2 linked regions of the Callithrix jacchus genome follow. The protein of the gene in region 2 interacts with the protein of the main gene of each other region in a pairwise test. Links are inferred from orthologs where the notes say so. Each region holds a gene or a part of one and is shown on either strand. Other genes may lie near its edges. The genes, in order: MAZ and BPTF.

Region 1 (7,542 bases), on a different chromosome or scaffold from region 2:
GGGCCACAGCTTCTTCTGTCGTGGGGAAGAGGGATGAAAAGACAAGACCAGGGCTGGAGCTGGGGTGGAAGAGGGGAGGGGGACACTGGCTGCATTCCCCCACCCCCAGGAAGCACCTCTAGGCCCTGGACCCCTCACTCACCCTGGCCCCTAAAACTCCATCTCTCCTCTGCCTCTGGCCCTCCTGGCTCCTCCTCCTGCTCCCCTGAACTTTTTCCCCTGACAGATTCTCATGTAGGACGATGTTCAGGGCCTGACCCCAAACCCCCTACCACCTTATGAAGGTACAACCTTTGCGGGCCCTGCTTCTGCCCCTCCTCAAACCTCACCACTTTCCCTCTCAGGGACAGAAGCTCTGATCTCCCTCCTTCCTCTCCTCCCTCCCCCTGGAAAAAAAAAAAGAAAAAGAAAAAGGAAAAGAAAGCACCAACTCCCCAGGGAGGGGCAGCAGACAGCAAGGAGAGAGGATTGGAAGGAGAGTAAGAGAACCGTTGAGGGAAGAGGCTCACAAGTCCCTGGGAGGACAGGGCACAGGCTTACAGAGAGGAGAGGGGGTACGGGCAGTGGCTGCTCCTGTCCTCTGCCACCCCTGCCCACTGTCCACGGGACTTCAACACAACCGAGGGGACAGGTTTGTGTGGGGTCAGGTCTGACAGAAGAAAGGTGCAGGAGAAACAAATCATTTAAAACCTAGCGAATTCCCCTAAAACATTTCTTCCTCCTTTCCTTCCGGAGGCTCCTTGGTTGGTGGGGAAGTAGTGAGGAGTTGGTGGAAAAAGAGGGGGGAGAGGAGCCTGTACCAAGGGACTCTACTCCATTTTCCCCTCTCCCCCACAACCAACTTGGAGCTCACCAGGGCTGGGAGGGAAGTGGCTGAGAGCTCACAGGCACCCCCTCTGCCCCCGAGAGGGAGCCCACAGCTGTGGGAGGAGCTGCTACTGCCGCTGCCGCAGCTGCCGCCGCTGCCGCCGCTGCTGCTGCCGCCGCCATTGGACAAACCTCACCAGTACCTGCAGGAGAAACACCACGGATCACAGCGCAATCTGAATGGCAAGAGCCTTGCCCTCACCCCAGACCTTCCCAGCCTGCTTCCCCTGGGACACAGCCGTTGCTCACTTCCTATCTGGTCCCCAAAGGCCTCAGCCTGCATCCTCACCCAGACAGAGGAGTTCTCAAGGGTCTTCCCTGTGCCTGGAAGTCTCCCTAGCCTGAGTGGCACATGGGCATCCCTTGCCTTCCTGAGATCCCCTATTGGGCCCTTTGAGCCCCCTTGTCCCCCACACCCCCCATCCCGCCCCCCAGCCATGCCCCACGCCTTGCCTGGTGGGTGCGGGGTCCCCCTCAGCAGGTGGGCTGTGGCTGGGGGGCGTCTCCTGGGACAGGGGGGGCGGCCCCCCCCAGATGGGTCTGCATGTGGCCGGCCAGCTGGGCAGGGGTCTTGCAGTGCACGCTGCACAGCTTGCACAGGATGCGGTCAGCCCGCGGGGCCTGGAGCCCGTGGTCCTTCACCGCGTGGATGCGCAGGTATGCTGCCGTGGTGAAGCCTATTGGGGGGGTGGATTGGGATGGGGCGGGGGTCAGCCCAGAGACGGAGACCCCAGAGACGGGGCTGATCTCCTAGGCGGGGGATGCCCTCCTCAGATGGCCCTGTCCTCCTCCCACAGCATCCTTGGTAGCCTGGGGCCAACTGCTCTGCTGGGACTGGTGGGTACAGCCCCTCCCTGAGCCTGGGGCCTGACTTGCGTGGTGCCTGCCTCTCAGCCTGGGTACCTACAGAGCTCACTCTTCATGGCCGGGAGACCTCTCCCAAGATGACAGGACACTGACTCCTAGCCACTTATAAGGTTGACCCTCAGCAGAGACGGCTGTGTCCCCTTCCCTCCAGTGCCTCCCAGTCTCAACCCAGTTAGTCGGTGAGTCTGACTGAAGGCAGCTTTCTCTGCTACCCGGGCAGGATATGTGCTGGTAAAGCCAAGCCCGTGTATTCCAACTGCCCCAGGAGCTGGAGACAAGACCTTGTGGCTGCCTGGCGGAAACCTTGCCTTGTGACCCCTGGAACTGGCTTCCCTGACTACTCCTTACCCAGAGCAGCCAAGTTCCACTCCCGCTCTCCCTACACATGCCCAGGAGGTTCAACCTCTCCGGCAGATCTTCTCCTCCAGCCAGGACTTCCTAGAGCCTAACGACGCTCATTCAGGTGTCCCCCCTCCGCTGCTCCCTTGACCTCTTGGAGGACTCTAGACGCCACGAGTTCTTGGCTACAGCACCCTTAATTCCTATCAGTGGCAGGGCGTCTGGCCAGGCGCCCACCCTCTGCCCCTGGCCCTCCCGGCAGCCCTCACTCAGCATGTACCTTTGTTGCAGAGCTCACAGACATGGTGAGGGCCCTGGCTGTGCACCTTCATGTGGTCCGAAATATAAGCCGAACTCAGCATCTTCCCACACACGTGACATGGCACCTTCTCCTCGTGTCGTACTGTGTGCGCCCGCAGCCGATCCTTCGTGGCGAAAGCTGCCTCACATTTCTGGGGAGGGGGGAGGGGCGTGGGGGGTGTCACAGGAGAGTTAAAGCTTCGGGGGCTGGGGAGGGGGGAGCAAGAGGTTAAAGGAATCAGAGCCTTGGGGATCTTTGATCTGTAGGAAACGGGAGTGAGATGACGAGGCCTTGAAGAAGGAATGAGAAAATGGAGTGAAAAGGCAAAAAGAAGAGAGAGAAAAAGGGGGTCTGAGAGGCTGAACTCAGACAGCTACTATGAGGATCAAAATCATGAAAACCAGGACTGGAGGCGGCGGGCTTCCTACCTCACATTTGAACGGCCGTTCTGTTGAGTGCACTTGTCTGACGTGACTGTTGAGGTGATCCGGCCTGGGGACACGTTGGGGTTGGGGTTAGGGCAGAAGCGGTGAGCCCCAAAACCGCCAAACAGCACCACAGGCCTTTCCGAGGATCCCTGCGCCTCCTCCCGGAGCCCGGGCCGTCACAGCGCCACTTCGGCAGGAAATCCCTCCCCTCCAAGCCCGGCAGCCGCGGCCGCCTCCGCCTCCGCCTCCGCCGCCACCTCCCACGAGAAGCTTCCGTCAACCCCAAGGCCCACCTCCTCGGCAAAGGACCACCCCCTGCTCCCTGGTAACCCAGAGAGGCTTCCTCCCTCCGCCCTAGGAGGAGCTCCCCTTCCCCAGCCTCAGCAGCCACCTCCCTCCCCGCCAGCCACAGCCAGGCCACCTCTGTCGCGTCCCTCCCTCCCCATGGCCTAGTGGGCGGCCGAGGCCCCGTGCACACCGGGAGAAGCTCTTGCCACAGTGGGAGCAGTTGTAGGGCTTGTGTACAGCGCCGTCATGTGAGCGCACGTGGTAGCTCATGCGGTCCTTGCGCTTGAAGCGCTGTTGGCACACCGGGCACTGGTAGGGCTTCTCGTCCGAGTGCGACAGCTTGTGTCGGTTCAGGTGGTAGACATCGCGGAAGGCCTTGCCGCACATCTCGCAGGCGTGGTTCTTCCGGATGCGCTTCCCCGAGGCGGTCGTGGTCACCACGCCACCAGCAGCCACTGCGGCCGCGCCGCCGCCGGCACCCGCTTCTCCCCCTCCCCCGCCGGCTCCGCTCAGCTGGGGTACGCTCAGGAGACTCAGGGGCACCATAGTGGGCATCTTCATAGCACCCGAGGGGACCCGGCCGGCCTTGGCTCCCGTGTGGATGGCTTCGTGCCTCCGGAGGTTGTAGCCGTTCTTGAACTCCTTGGCGCAGAGAGCGCAGATGTAGGGCCCCTTGCTCTTTGTCTTCTTCTCCAAGGCAGAAGCGACTGGGGCCACGGCAACCGTCGATGTTGGGGCTACGACGGCGGTGGCCGCCGCCGCCGCGGCGATGGTGGCGGCGGAGGCGGGGGGCGCGGCCTCGGCCGCAGGCGCCGACACGGGTGGGGGTGGCGGAGGGGGCGCCGGGGGCTGTTTCAGGGCCGCTGTGTCCACCGTGGAGGCGGCGGCCGGAGCCGGGGGCGCGGCAGCGACGGCAGCAGCAGCGGCGGCGGCGGCCGCAGCGGCCGCGGCGGACTCCTGGGCAGCAGCGAGCACGGGGAGCAAGTCCACCTGGAGGGGCTCGGCCGCCGGGGCCTGGGGCGTGGGCGGGGGCGCCGGTGCGGCCTGCGGAAACAAGGCGCCGAGTGGGCCGCGGGTGCCGGCGGGCGCCCCCCCCCGGCCCTGGCCGCCGCGGCGGGCCCTACTCACCTGGAATGGACTCTGGGCGCAGCCCTGGGAGGCAAAGAAGCGGGACTGGAGCTCAGCCCCGACCTGCAGGGGGTTCTGGGCGTGACCCTGAGGTGGCGGGAAGGAGTTCATGAGGCCGCCCACCCCCCGGGAGTCCAGGCCCAGCACGGGGAAGGGGGGGGCCAGCAGCGTGCAAGGGAACACCGGGAACATGGCCTCGGCCGCAGCGGGGCCCCCGGGGCTCAGCGGGGGCCGGGGGCGCGGGCCGCACAGGGCCCGGGCTCGGGGCGCCGCCCCCGGCCGGCCGGCCTGGGCCGCGCCGAACGCATGGCCCGCGGGCCGCCCCGCCGCCCGCGCACCCCGGCCGGCGGGAGGGAAGGAGGGCGCCTTGCGGGCCGCGGAGCGCCGCGGCGACGGCGGCGGCGACGCCCCCTGAGTGGGGGCGGGAGGCCCCGCGGGGCCGGGGCCGGGGCCGGGGGCGGGGGCCCGGGCGGCGGCGGCGGCGGCGGCGGCGGTTGGAGCCTGGCGGGGCGGGGTGGGGGGAGCGAGGGAGCAGCCTCGGCCCCCGCCGCGCGCGCGCCCAGCCGGCGCCTCGGGGAGGGCGGGGGAGGGCGCGAGGGAGGGAGGGGGACAGCTGCGCGCGCACCGGGCGCGCGGAGGGGGGGTGGGACGGGAGGGAGGGCGGGCAGGAGGGGGTGTGGGCAGGGGGGTGGGGGCGGGGGGAGGGGGTTGTTACCTGGAAGATGAAGCTGCTCCAGTTGCTGGGATCCATGGCGAAGGGAGGGAGGGAGGTGGCTCGCGCTCACCCTGGGGCGGGAGGAGGAGGAGGCGGCAGTGGGGGAGGGGGAACCCGGGGAGGAGGCGCGCGGGGCGGGCGGGGGGAGGAGGAGGGTGGGGGGAGCGGAGCACACTGCGCGCGGGGAGGGCGGGCGGGGGGCGCGAGGACACACAAGAGGCTGGAGCGGGCGCGAGCGCGAGCGCGGGTGCGCGCAGGGCCAGCGGGAGGGGGAGGCGCGAGAGGACTGGCGGGAGGAGGGACGGGGGAGCCACCCAGCAGCCCGAGTCGCCCCGAGCGCGAGACCCCTGAGACGGCTGCTGATTGGCTGACGATGGCGCAGGTGGTGGGCGCGCGGGAGACCGGCGGCTTCTCTCCTCTTCCCCCCTCCAACGATTCCACCCCCCTCCCTCCGCCAGCGGCCGTTATTTCGCGCGCACGCGCACAAGGCTGCTGTCGTTGCTAAGCGGGAGAATGGGGGAGCGCGCGTCGGGGGCACGGACGGGGCGGGGCTAATCCGTGAGCGCGCCCGCCTAACGGTTGCGCTCAAGCTTCGACTTTCGTTTTTTGCATCCTGCCGGCCACCGTCCTCTTCGCCCTGCTCCAGAGGTTTATTTACAATCCAGGGCTAAGTGGCTCCCCGAAGATGGCGCCCAGCGGAGCCGACGGCAGCACTCGCGGCCCACCCTGGGGCGGTCACACCCCGGTCCCGCCCTCGCAGCCCCAAAAATCAGGCGGAAGCACCGGAGCAAAAACTGTATTTACAAACACGGGGTTATACAAGGATTTTTAAAAAAGGCGGAGTGAGGAAACGGCGGTCAAGACAGGTCACAGCGCTGGCCGGCGGCGAGACCCAGGATGTTCGCCTGCAACACAGGAGGGCGGGGACAGCGATGTTAGAAGGGCGCGGGGTGCTGGACAGGCAAACGAGGGGCAGGGCTGTGACTTCACCTTCAGGAAGGACTCCATCTGTTTCCCTGTTATGCCCTCCACGCGTTCCAGGTCCTCCACCTGGCGGGACAGGATCGGTAGGAGATGGTGTCTCGGGGGTGCCTGGTCTCCCCCATCCCCCGCCCTCCCCCAGTCCTCAGGGGGCTGTTACCTGGCTGAAGGGGCCGTGGAGCTCCCGCCAGCCCACGATGAGCTGGGCCTTCTTCGGGCCAATGCGCTGAAGACTGCGGAGATCCCTGGCTGAGCCTTCGTTCAGCAGATCCAGTATTTTTTTGCGCCCATGAGCCAAAAGCTCCGGGCTGATCTGTAGCTCCCAGCAGTCCTCTGCCTTCTCCTCAGGCTCTGAGGCATCCAGGGACTCCAGCTGGGAGGCAAAGGGTGGTGAGTGACATGCACGGCAGCCAAGTGCTTTGGGCTCCTCTGCCAAGACTAGCCCAGCACCAGCTACCTCCCGTGCTCCAGCCTCTTCCTCTCAAGTGTATCCAAAATCCTGCCCTCAGGTCACTCTGGGTTAATTCTGATACCAAGTACTAGCATCTTTCTCATGGAGTTACTGTGGCGGTCAAGTGAGTTAATGAATGTAAAGAACAAAATAAGCTATTCAATCTGGTTTCTCATCTCTAAAAAGGAAAGAATAAGCTCTTTCAGAAGTACATGGGAGAAAATATGAATAAATGATACCTCCCTCAACCATCTCAGCTTTTCAGTCGTAGTGGTGTTCAACTCTGTGCATGCCAGTGTGCGCACATGTGTGTGGTTTCATTCTTGAGTGTTTAGGTCATAGTTCCCTAAGTTTTCCCTTTTAAGCTTGTAGATGGCAGAAGTCAGGCTACACAGTGGACCTAGTGAAGTAGTTAACTGACAGTAGCTATCAAGAAGGGAACATCCGCTCTGCTAGGTACATCCACATCACTGCCTTTCACCCTAAATGCCCTGCAAGGAGCCATCCATCGCCACATTCCAGGGGTAAGCAAGTCGAGGCCTGTAAATAGCTGGCGGCCATCGCCCAGTGGGTTAACTCCAAGACCAATGCTCCTCCCCCTAGAGCCTACTCCCCCTTATTTCTGAGGTCCAGGTGTAGCCTAAGCCCCCAGCTACTTTCACCTTTCTCTTCCGGCCTTTATTCCTCAGGATATGGATCTCGGCATTTGGGGATGCTGCCTGCTCCTGAACTGAAAGCAGGAATTGATAATTGGAGTCAGGGCAGAGGCTACTTTTCATCCTCCCTGGTAGCCCCTCAGTTCTTCCAATTCTGATTCCCCAGTTCCCCTCCACCGTGAGTTAACCTGTTGTGTCTCCACATGACCTTTTTTATACCTGTATTTGAAGTATCTCAGTCACTCTTGCATTGTCATCAACCCTCTACTTGTCTGTCCATCCCACTGTACTAAACACCTGAGGGCAGAACACCCCCAATCCTGCCTCAGAGCCTCCTCAGCCCTCCCTGGGACTGGCATATGGTGGGAGAACATGAATGACATGAAGACAGCTGCTCCTAACACCTCCTCCCTTATGGTATCTCAGCTGCCTTGGCATCCCCCAGCCCCTGGAGTCAAACTTACTTAGCTGTAGGGGCATCACCACAGCCTTTTTCAGGGGCTTTGCCATTGTGACTGTGC
Region 2 (7,470 bases):
AAATTGCTCTAAACTACCAATGAAGTAAATTCCTCTTTCAGCTTTCACTGTTCAACAGGATTGAAAGTCATCAATCATACTTCTTTATGTGTTATTGGACTATTTTTAACCAGTTCTATAACTTTTTTTTCTTCCATCTACACATTACCTGACAGCCTTCCTCCGGGGAAGTACAGACTACAAACCAACGAAACTAGTACTTAGCCGAAACAACTCACTGCCATGCATTGTTAGCCATTCGAGGCAAGTGGGCATGTTCTAAAAGTTTAGAACGCAACATGTCACTTGGAGCGCGTGGTTGGTGAGGGGAGGGGAACTTAGAGGATGGGTTAATAAGTACAGCAATTCACCATGGCACACATATACCTATGCAACAAATCCGCACATTCTGCACATGTATCTCGTTTTTTTTTCTTTGTATAAGAAATAAGGGGAAAAAAGTCACATCCATTGTACTGTAATCTTAAAAAGGTAAGACATCCAAATTAACATCACAGCCAATAAAAGAAAATGCCTGGCAAGCAATATGAAATAGCAACTCAAAAAAAAAAATAACTCTTGCAATGAAAAACATTCACTGACCAAACTGTCCATCAAAACCCAATTAGAAAAAACACAAACAAAAACCAATTAGACCAATTTTTAATTTCCTAAGTCCAAAGATTTAGGAGTTATGACACCCACCGCAAAATTATCAAAATTTCATCTATTATAAGCTCTCATCTGCTAACAATTTATCCAACCAATCTCTGATGAGTACCTGTTAGATGCCAAACACTGTTATAGGAGCTGCAGGTGGAATAAGCTCAATACCTATCTCTAACGAGTTAATAATTCCATACAAAGAAGGACAGACAGACACCTGCTAGGCTACAACTATCGTTAAGAAAAACAAAAAGTCGGTTGGCCAGGCTCAGTGGCTTACACCTGTAATTGCAGCACTTTGGGCAGGGGGGGACATCACCTGAGGTTGGGAGTTCGAGACCAGCCTGACCAATATGGTGAAACCCCATCTCTACAAAAAATACAAAGTTAGCCAGGTGTGGTGGGGCATGCCTTTAATCCCAGCTACTCAGAAGACTGAGACAGGGGAATCATTTGAACCCAGGAGGTGAAGGCTGCGGTGAGCCAAGATCACCACATGTACTCTAGCCTGGGCAACAAGAGCAAAACTCTGTCTCCAAAAAAAAAAAAAAAGAAAGAAAGAAAGAAAAAAGGAAAAGAAAATGTCAGGCCAGTGCCGTGGCTCATGCTTGTGATCCCCAAACTTTGGGAGGCCGAGGTGGGCGGGTCATCCGAGGTCGAGAGTTCCAGAGCAGCCTGACCAACATGAAGAAACCCCATCTCTACTGAAAATACAAAATTAGCTGGGCATGGTGGAACATGCCTGTAATCCCAGCTACTCGGGAGGCAGGAGAAGAATCTGAACCCGGAAGGCGGAGGTTGCAGTGAGCTGAAATCACACCATTGTACTCCAGCCTGGGCAACAAGAGTAAAATGCTATCTCAAAAAAAGAAAAACAAAATGTCACAAAAGAATAAGTAAATAAATTTTTTTAAATGACACCTAGCTACAGATTGTAATTTAAGTCAGCATATGCGAGTTATCAATCCTATATATTATTTGCTAGGCCTTCAAATAGGTCTTAAAGTTAGCTGAACTGCCCTGCCAAAATGTCTCAGCTCTGTTTAATCAGAAACACTTCCTCCAGGGGTGTATGCAATTCAGTCTCCATGTTTCAATTATCGGTTCTGTGTATAATGAAGACCAACAAGTGATTTCTCAAGGTAAAAATTATTACCATAAAAGGTGTACTAGGCCAGGCACGGTGGTTCACACCTGTAATCCTAGCACTTTGGGAGGCCAAGGTGGGCAGATCACGAGGTCAGGAGTTTGACATCAGGCTGGCCAACACGGTGAAACCCCATCTCTACTAAAAATACAAAAATTAGCCAGGCATGCTGGCAGGTACCCGTAATCCCGGCTGCTCAAGAGGCTGACAGGAGAATCGCTTGAGCCCAGGAGGTGGAGGTTGCAGGGAGCCATGATCGTGCCATTGCACTCCAGCCTGGGCGACAGAGCAAGACTCCGTCTCAAAAACAAAAAGATGAGCTAAAATTAAGTTGGCAAGAATTTACCTGTAGTCCTTTCTACATCTAAGACATAAATACCTGACACTTGATTCATTCCCTTCATTCTCCACATAGTCCCCCCCAACCCTCACAAGCCAGGCAACCATTCTGACCATCAGGCAAAATAAATTACCTTTTTTCACTTTGTTAGGACAACTCATGTGGGTTTACATTTGGCTTAATATAATACTACTCTACTTCTCCAATAAGTAAGCATTTATAAAAAACAGAAACTTCTCAATTTAACCACTTCTACTATCCGAGTCTCTCTGAGAAAGACATGACACACCTTAATTCAAGGAAAAAAGGTCCTTTTTCCTCACAAATATTTCCTCATAAACTTTATTTTTCAAATGCTTTTAAAACCAGATTCTAATTTAATTAATCTAGATTTGCAAAATTATAAAGGAAAAGTCTTGCCAGTTGTTGCTTTGGTTATGTTAATTTCACAATTTAGTAAATTTCAACTACCTATTTAATACAAAGCAGTCTTTTGGAAGAGGGTGAGGGGTTTTTAACAAAATGCATCTCAGCACCAGCCTGGAGAAACTTTTTGTGAGAAAACAGAAGAGGGGTTACCATGGAGAAATTCATTACGGATTTCTGTGAGGGCTTTTTCCTCAGAAATAGAGTGAAAAGAAAAAGTCGTCGTGTAATAAATCTGATACTGATGCTACATGACTTAGAAAAAAGTTCATCTTCGGCAATTATGTCTAGAGGATCAACTACACATCTTGTGCAACAGGTGACACGAAACTGCATTTCCCAAGCCAGGCAAAGCGATCAAATGAGTTAAGACAAGCGTTCCTGCGGTTTTGTACTTTTATTTTTGACTTAACCAAAACAATTTTGAATCGGATGAATTACCAAATTTGGTTGGGTCTTGTTTGGCTTTCTATTTTGCTTTTTCATCAGCCATTTACCAGCAACTGTTGCATGAGCCCATTGGCACTCGAAGAATAAAAACAAACACGCAGGACCAGATAAAGTTCCCCTACTAACCCAAATGATCCATTTCCTTAACACAATTTTAAAACCACAGCTAGGGGTGTGAAAACAGGCATGTTTTTGTGTGTGTTTGTGTGCCACAATCTGCCCAAATCCTTAATTCCCTTTTAAGTAACAGATATATAATAAAAATCTGAAAGAAACCATATTAGAAATGCAAAGAGGTTTGCAAAACAAGAGGCTTCTTTCATTCCAGAAAACCACACCAAAACAAGGGAAGAAAAATGAATGCAATGGATACGTGTCTGCCAAAGTTTCAATCCTGCCCGGTGGAGACATCGCACTGGCACAAATTTTGAAGAGGAAAAAGAGGGGGTTGGGGGGAGAGAGAGCAAGCGAGTGTGGCCTGCAAACTGCAACAATGCAATCTCCATTTTGAACAATGCGCCTCTTTCCTCTTGTAAATCTAGTTTTTTGCCACTTGATGTGCCGTCGCATTTCCCCTCTGTTTGGGGGGAAGGCGGGGTTGGGGGGAGATCGGAGCAGGATGCACAGCACACGAGTGAGGAAGGGGGGAGGGCAGAGGAGGTGGGGAAGGAGTCTGCAGCAACTGGGCTGGGTGGGTACCTGGAGTGCTGCTGTAGGTACTATGGCTCCTGAAGCTGCTTTCCGTGCAGTAACTGGCGTCGTCGTCGTCGTCTTCCATCTCCTCCGGATAATCGGAGTCATCGTCGTCCTCCTCCATCTCATCCTCCTCGTCGTCCTCAGAATCTTGGGTCTCCTCGGCGTCGCCGTCCTCCTCCTCCTCCTCCTCCTCCTCGGAGACCATGTCCTCCTCTTCCTCCTCCTCCTCGCTCTCGTGGTCATCGTACACCACTTTGTTGACGGCCCTCCGGGCCGCGGTGGTCCGGGCCAGGTGGCCGCCGCCGCCCCCGCCCCCCGTCCTGCCTCCCCCGCCTCCTCGCCCCCCCCGGCCCGGGGCGCTGGTGCTGGGGGGGGCCGGCGGCGGCTGCGGCTTCCTCCGGCTACTGCTGCCCCCCCTGGGCGAGCTCAGCCGCGTCTTGGGCGCCACCTCAGCCTGGGCGGCGGCCCACCTGCCCCGACTACTGCCGCGGTGCCGCGAGCGGAGCCCCCCGATGGGTCCGGACGTGGGCGGCGGCGGCGGCGGCGGCGGCGGCGGCGGGGCCGGGGCGCAGCGCTCCGCAGCGGGAGCCGCGGGCTGCTTGGGCGGCCTGCCCCGCCGGCCCCTCATGTCGGAGCCGAGGCGGGGGGGAGAAGGGAAAGCGGAGGGGGAGGGGCGGGCGCAGGGGGGGCGGTGGGGAGCGCCGGGGCCGGGTGGGGAAGCCCGCGGGGCCGGGCGGGAGGGGCCCAGCCGGCGGAAGCGGGTGGAGGGAGAAGGCTCAATCCGAATTGCTGGGGCCCCACTCCGGATCGCCTTCAGCCGCCATCTTGTTTCTTCCCTCTCGCTCGGTGACTGGGGGAACCGACAGCGGCCGCAGGCCCGGAGCGCGGTCACGTGAGCTGCGCCGCCGACGAGCCTGGACGGAGCGAGGCGGCGCAGCGGCCGCTAGGGGGAGCGCGGGAGCGCCGAGTCGGGGGCGGGGAGCACGGGGCTTCTGGGTTCGGCGCAGCTAGGCGCAGCTGGACTTCGGGCGCGGGTGGCGCGGCAGAGACGGGTGCGCAGCTCGCGAAATGCCCCTGTGTCAAAGGCCTTCGGAGACCATAGTCTCCGCGGACCCCTGGCTGGAGGCCAAAGCCTGCCGGACCTCCTCCCCGCGTCTCCCCTTCCGCGGCTCGGAGAGAAAGGCAGGAGAGCCCCCAAATATCATTCCCCTCCCGGCCCCCTAGGGAAACTGATGCTGAAAGAGCCAGAGAAAAAGAAAAAAAGGTATAGGAGCGGGGCGGCCGAACGACCGAGGACACTGGGCAGCGCCACCGACGAAGGGAAATTCCTAGAATTTAGGAAACTCCTTACCTGGGAGCTGGAGTCCTGAAATTGACTCGAATGACAACTGCTCCACGCTGTGCCAGGAGCCACGCCCGGAGGGAGGGGCACTTTAAGGCCTATTCCGTGGAACCCCCACTCGGAAAGCCTCAGGAAACTCCAGAACGCAACTACTGCACGTTCCAGTCTCCCGCCACCCTCCCAGTGCCCCAGCTAGGACCGCTACCACCTCAGCAGGAACTTCCCTCTCCTCTGCAGTGTAAAACGAAATCCTGCCTAAAAACCTACTTCACGGTGTTATGTTTGTATTATCGGGAAATAACCTTGATTTATTTATCTGACAAGTCACTAAGTTTCAGCTTAGCCCAGGGGACGAATCATGATGACATTTCAGGCACCCTCAAACCTTATCACAGGGACTCAACCGTGAGTGGTTGAGGGCAGCTCTTCAGATAAGAGGTTTTATAAACTTATATGAATATTTGAGATAAGTGACAACCAAAAAGTAATTTAAAGAAAAATAGTTGGCCTGGCTCGGAAACTCATACCTGCAATCCCAGCCCTTTGAGAGACGGAGGCCGGAGGATAGCTTGCGGTCAGCAGTTCGAGACAACCCTGGGCAACATATCAGGACCTCGTCTCTAGAAAAAAATTGAAAAATTAGCCGGGCATGGTGGTGTGCACCTGTGGTCCCAGCTACATGAGAGGCTGAGATGGGGGGGATCGCTGGAGCCTGGGAGACAGATGTTGCAGTGAGTGGTGATTGCACCACTGCACTCCAGCCTGCGTGAAAGAGCAAGACCCTGTCTCAAAATTGAAAAAAAAGAAACAAAAATACCTAACAGGATTTCTGTCCACCAAATGGCTATTTCAATCTCGGCCTCGCCGTCCTCCTCCTCGGAGACCATGTCCACCTCTTCCTCCTCCTCCTCGTTCTCGTGGTCATCATACACCAAATATGAACACATTTATGTTCACAATTGTGTTCACATTTGTGAAATTTTTCACATGTGAAAGTTGTGTTCATATATGTGAAATGAAAATTAAAATACAAGCACTGATTGCCAAATATATGCATTCAGTACAATTTGATTGAGCTTCAAAAGTGACAAATGTGTATGTATCTCCAGAGACCAGGCGAGTTACGTAAGTCAATAAAGTAGGCAAGATAAAGACTTAGGCCAGTGGAAGTGCCTGTATTTTGTTTGAAGAGGGTGGCTCAGGCCTGTAATCCCATCACTTTAGGAGGCCAGGTGGGTGGATCAATTGAGGGACTTGGAGATTAGCCTGGGCAACATGGTGAAATCCTGTCTACTAAAAATACAAAAATTAGCTGGGCGTGGTGGCGGGTACCTGTAATCCCAGCTACCTGGGAGGCTGACAGGAGAATCGCTTGAACTCAGGAGGCAGAGGCTGCAGTAAGCCAAGGTGGTGCTACTGCACTCCAACCTGGGTGACACAGCAAGACTTGTCTCAAAAAAAAAAAAAAAAGTGGTAGTGAGGAAGTGAGAATTTTATTTGGAGACACATAAATTGAAACTTTATGTATATATCATCCCAGTGATTGTGGCTCACTGCAACCTCCTGAGCTTGAGCGATCCACCCACCTCCCTCCCAAAGTGCTGGTTTTATAGACCACAGCCAGCCACCCTTTTTAAACAAAATATGGTGCCAGGGCTGGGTGTGGTGGCTCATTCCTGTAATCCCAGCACTTTGAGAGGCCAAGGCGGGTCAACATGGCAAAACCCCGTCTCTGCTAAAAACTAGCCAAGCATGGTGGGGCGCCAGTAGTCCCAGCTACTTGGGAGACTGAGGCAGGAGAATTGCTTGAACCCAGGAGGTGGAAGTTGCAGTAAGCGGAGATCGCGCCATTGCACTCCAGCCGGGGCGACAGAACAAGACTCTGTCTCAAAATAAATAAATAAATAAAAATGGGCACTTCCATTGGCCAAAGTCCTCATCCTGCTCTACTTTATTGACTTTCATTCCCTGGTCCGTGGAGGCATATACACATTTGTCACCCTAGGGGCTCAATCAAATTGTATTGAATACATTTATTTGACATTAGTGCTTGTATTTTTTCATTTCACATAAGTATTCTATTTTCCTAACTAGATTGAAAGAAGCCGCTGGTGTGGTGGCTCACATCTGTAATCTTAGCACTTTGGGAGGCTGATCACCTGAGGTTGCAAGTTGGAGACCAGCCTGACCAACATGATGAAACACTGTCTCTACCAAAAGTACAAAAAGTAGCTGGGTGTGGTGGCAGGCACCTGTAGTCCCAACTACTCCAGAGACTGAGACAGGAGAATCGCTTGAACCCTGGAGGTGGAGGTTGCAGTGAGCTGAAATTGTACCACTGTACTCCAGCCTTGGCGACAGAGTCAGACTGTCTCAGAAAAGAAAAAAGAGGCCGGGTGTGGTGGCTCACACCTGTAATCCAAG

What was found.
Region 1: the proteins of BPTF (region 2) and MAZ interact in a two-hybrid assay, tested with the Homo sapiens proteins (2 studies listed by BioGRID). The link is inferred for Callithrix jacchus from reciprocal best matches to the Homo sapiens genes BPTF and MAZ.

Annotation. Positions count from the first base shown.
Region 1 is NC_133513.1:29,699,972-29,707,513, forward strand, and holds the start of MAZ (myc-associated zinc finger protein), read right to left. Parts: upstream 4,722-7,542; 5' UTR 4,411-4,721; coding exon 4,219-4,410; intron 4,135-4,218; coding exon 3,281-4,134; intron 2,867-3,280; coding exon 2,803-2,866; intron 2,665-2,802; exon of another isoform or gene 2,526-2,664; coding exon 2,354-2,525; exon of another isoform or gene 1,955-2,353; intron 1,845-1,954; exon of another isoform or gene 1,665-1,844; intron 1,545-1,664; coding exon 1,342-1,544; 3' UTR 1,321-1,341; intron 1,011-1,320; coding exon of another isoform or gene 850-1,010; 3' UTR 1-849. Other genes in the region: kinesin-like protein KIF22, read right to left, coding at 5,801-5,983, 6,075-6,287, 7,028-7,095, 7,486-7,542. UniProt on the Homo sapiens protein: Transcriptional regulator, potentially with dual roles in transcription initiation and termination.
Region 2 is NC_133506.1:90,439,520-90,446,989, forward strand, and holds the start of BPTF (nucleosome-remodeling factor subunit BPTF), read right to left. Parts: upstream 4,557-7,470; 5' UTR 4,333-4,556; coding exon 3,708-4,332; intron 1-3,707. UniProt on the Homo sapiens protein: Regulatory subunit of the ATP-dependent NURF-1 and NURF-5 ISWI chromatin remodeling complexes, which form ordered nucleosome arrays on chromatin and facilitate access to DNA during DNA-templated processes such as DNA replication, transcription, and repair.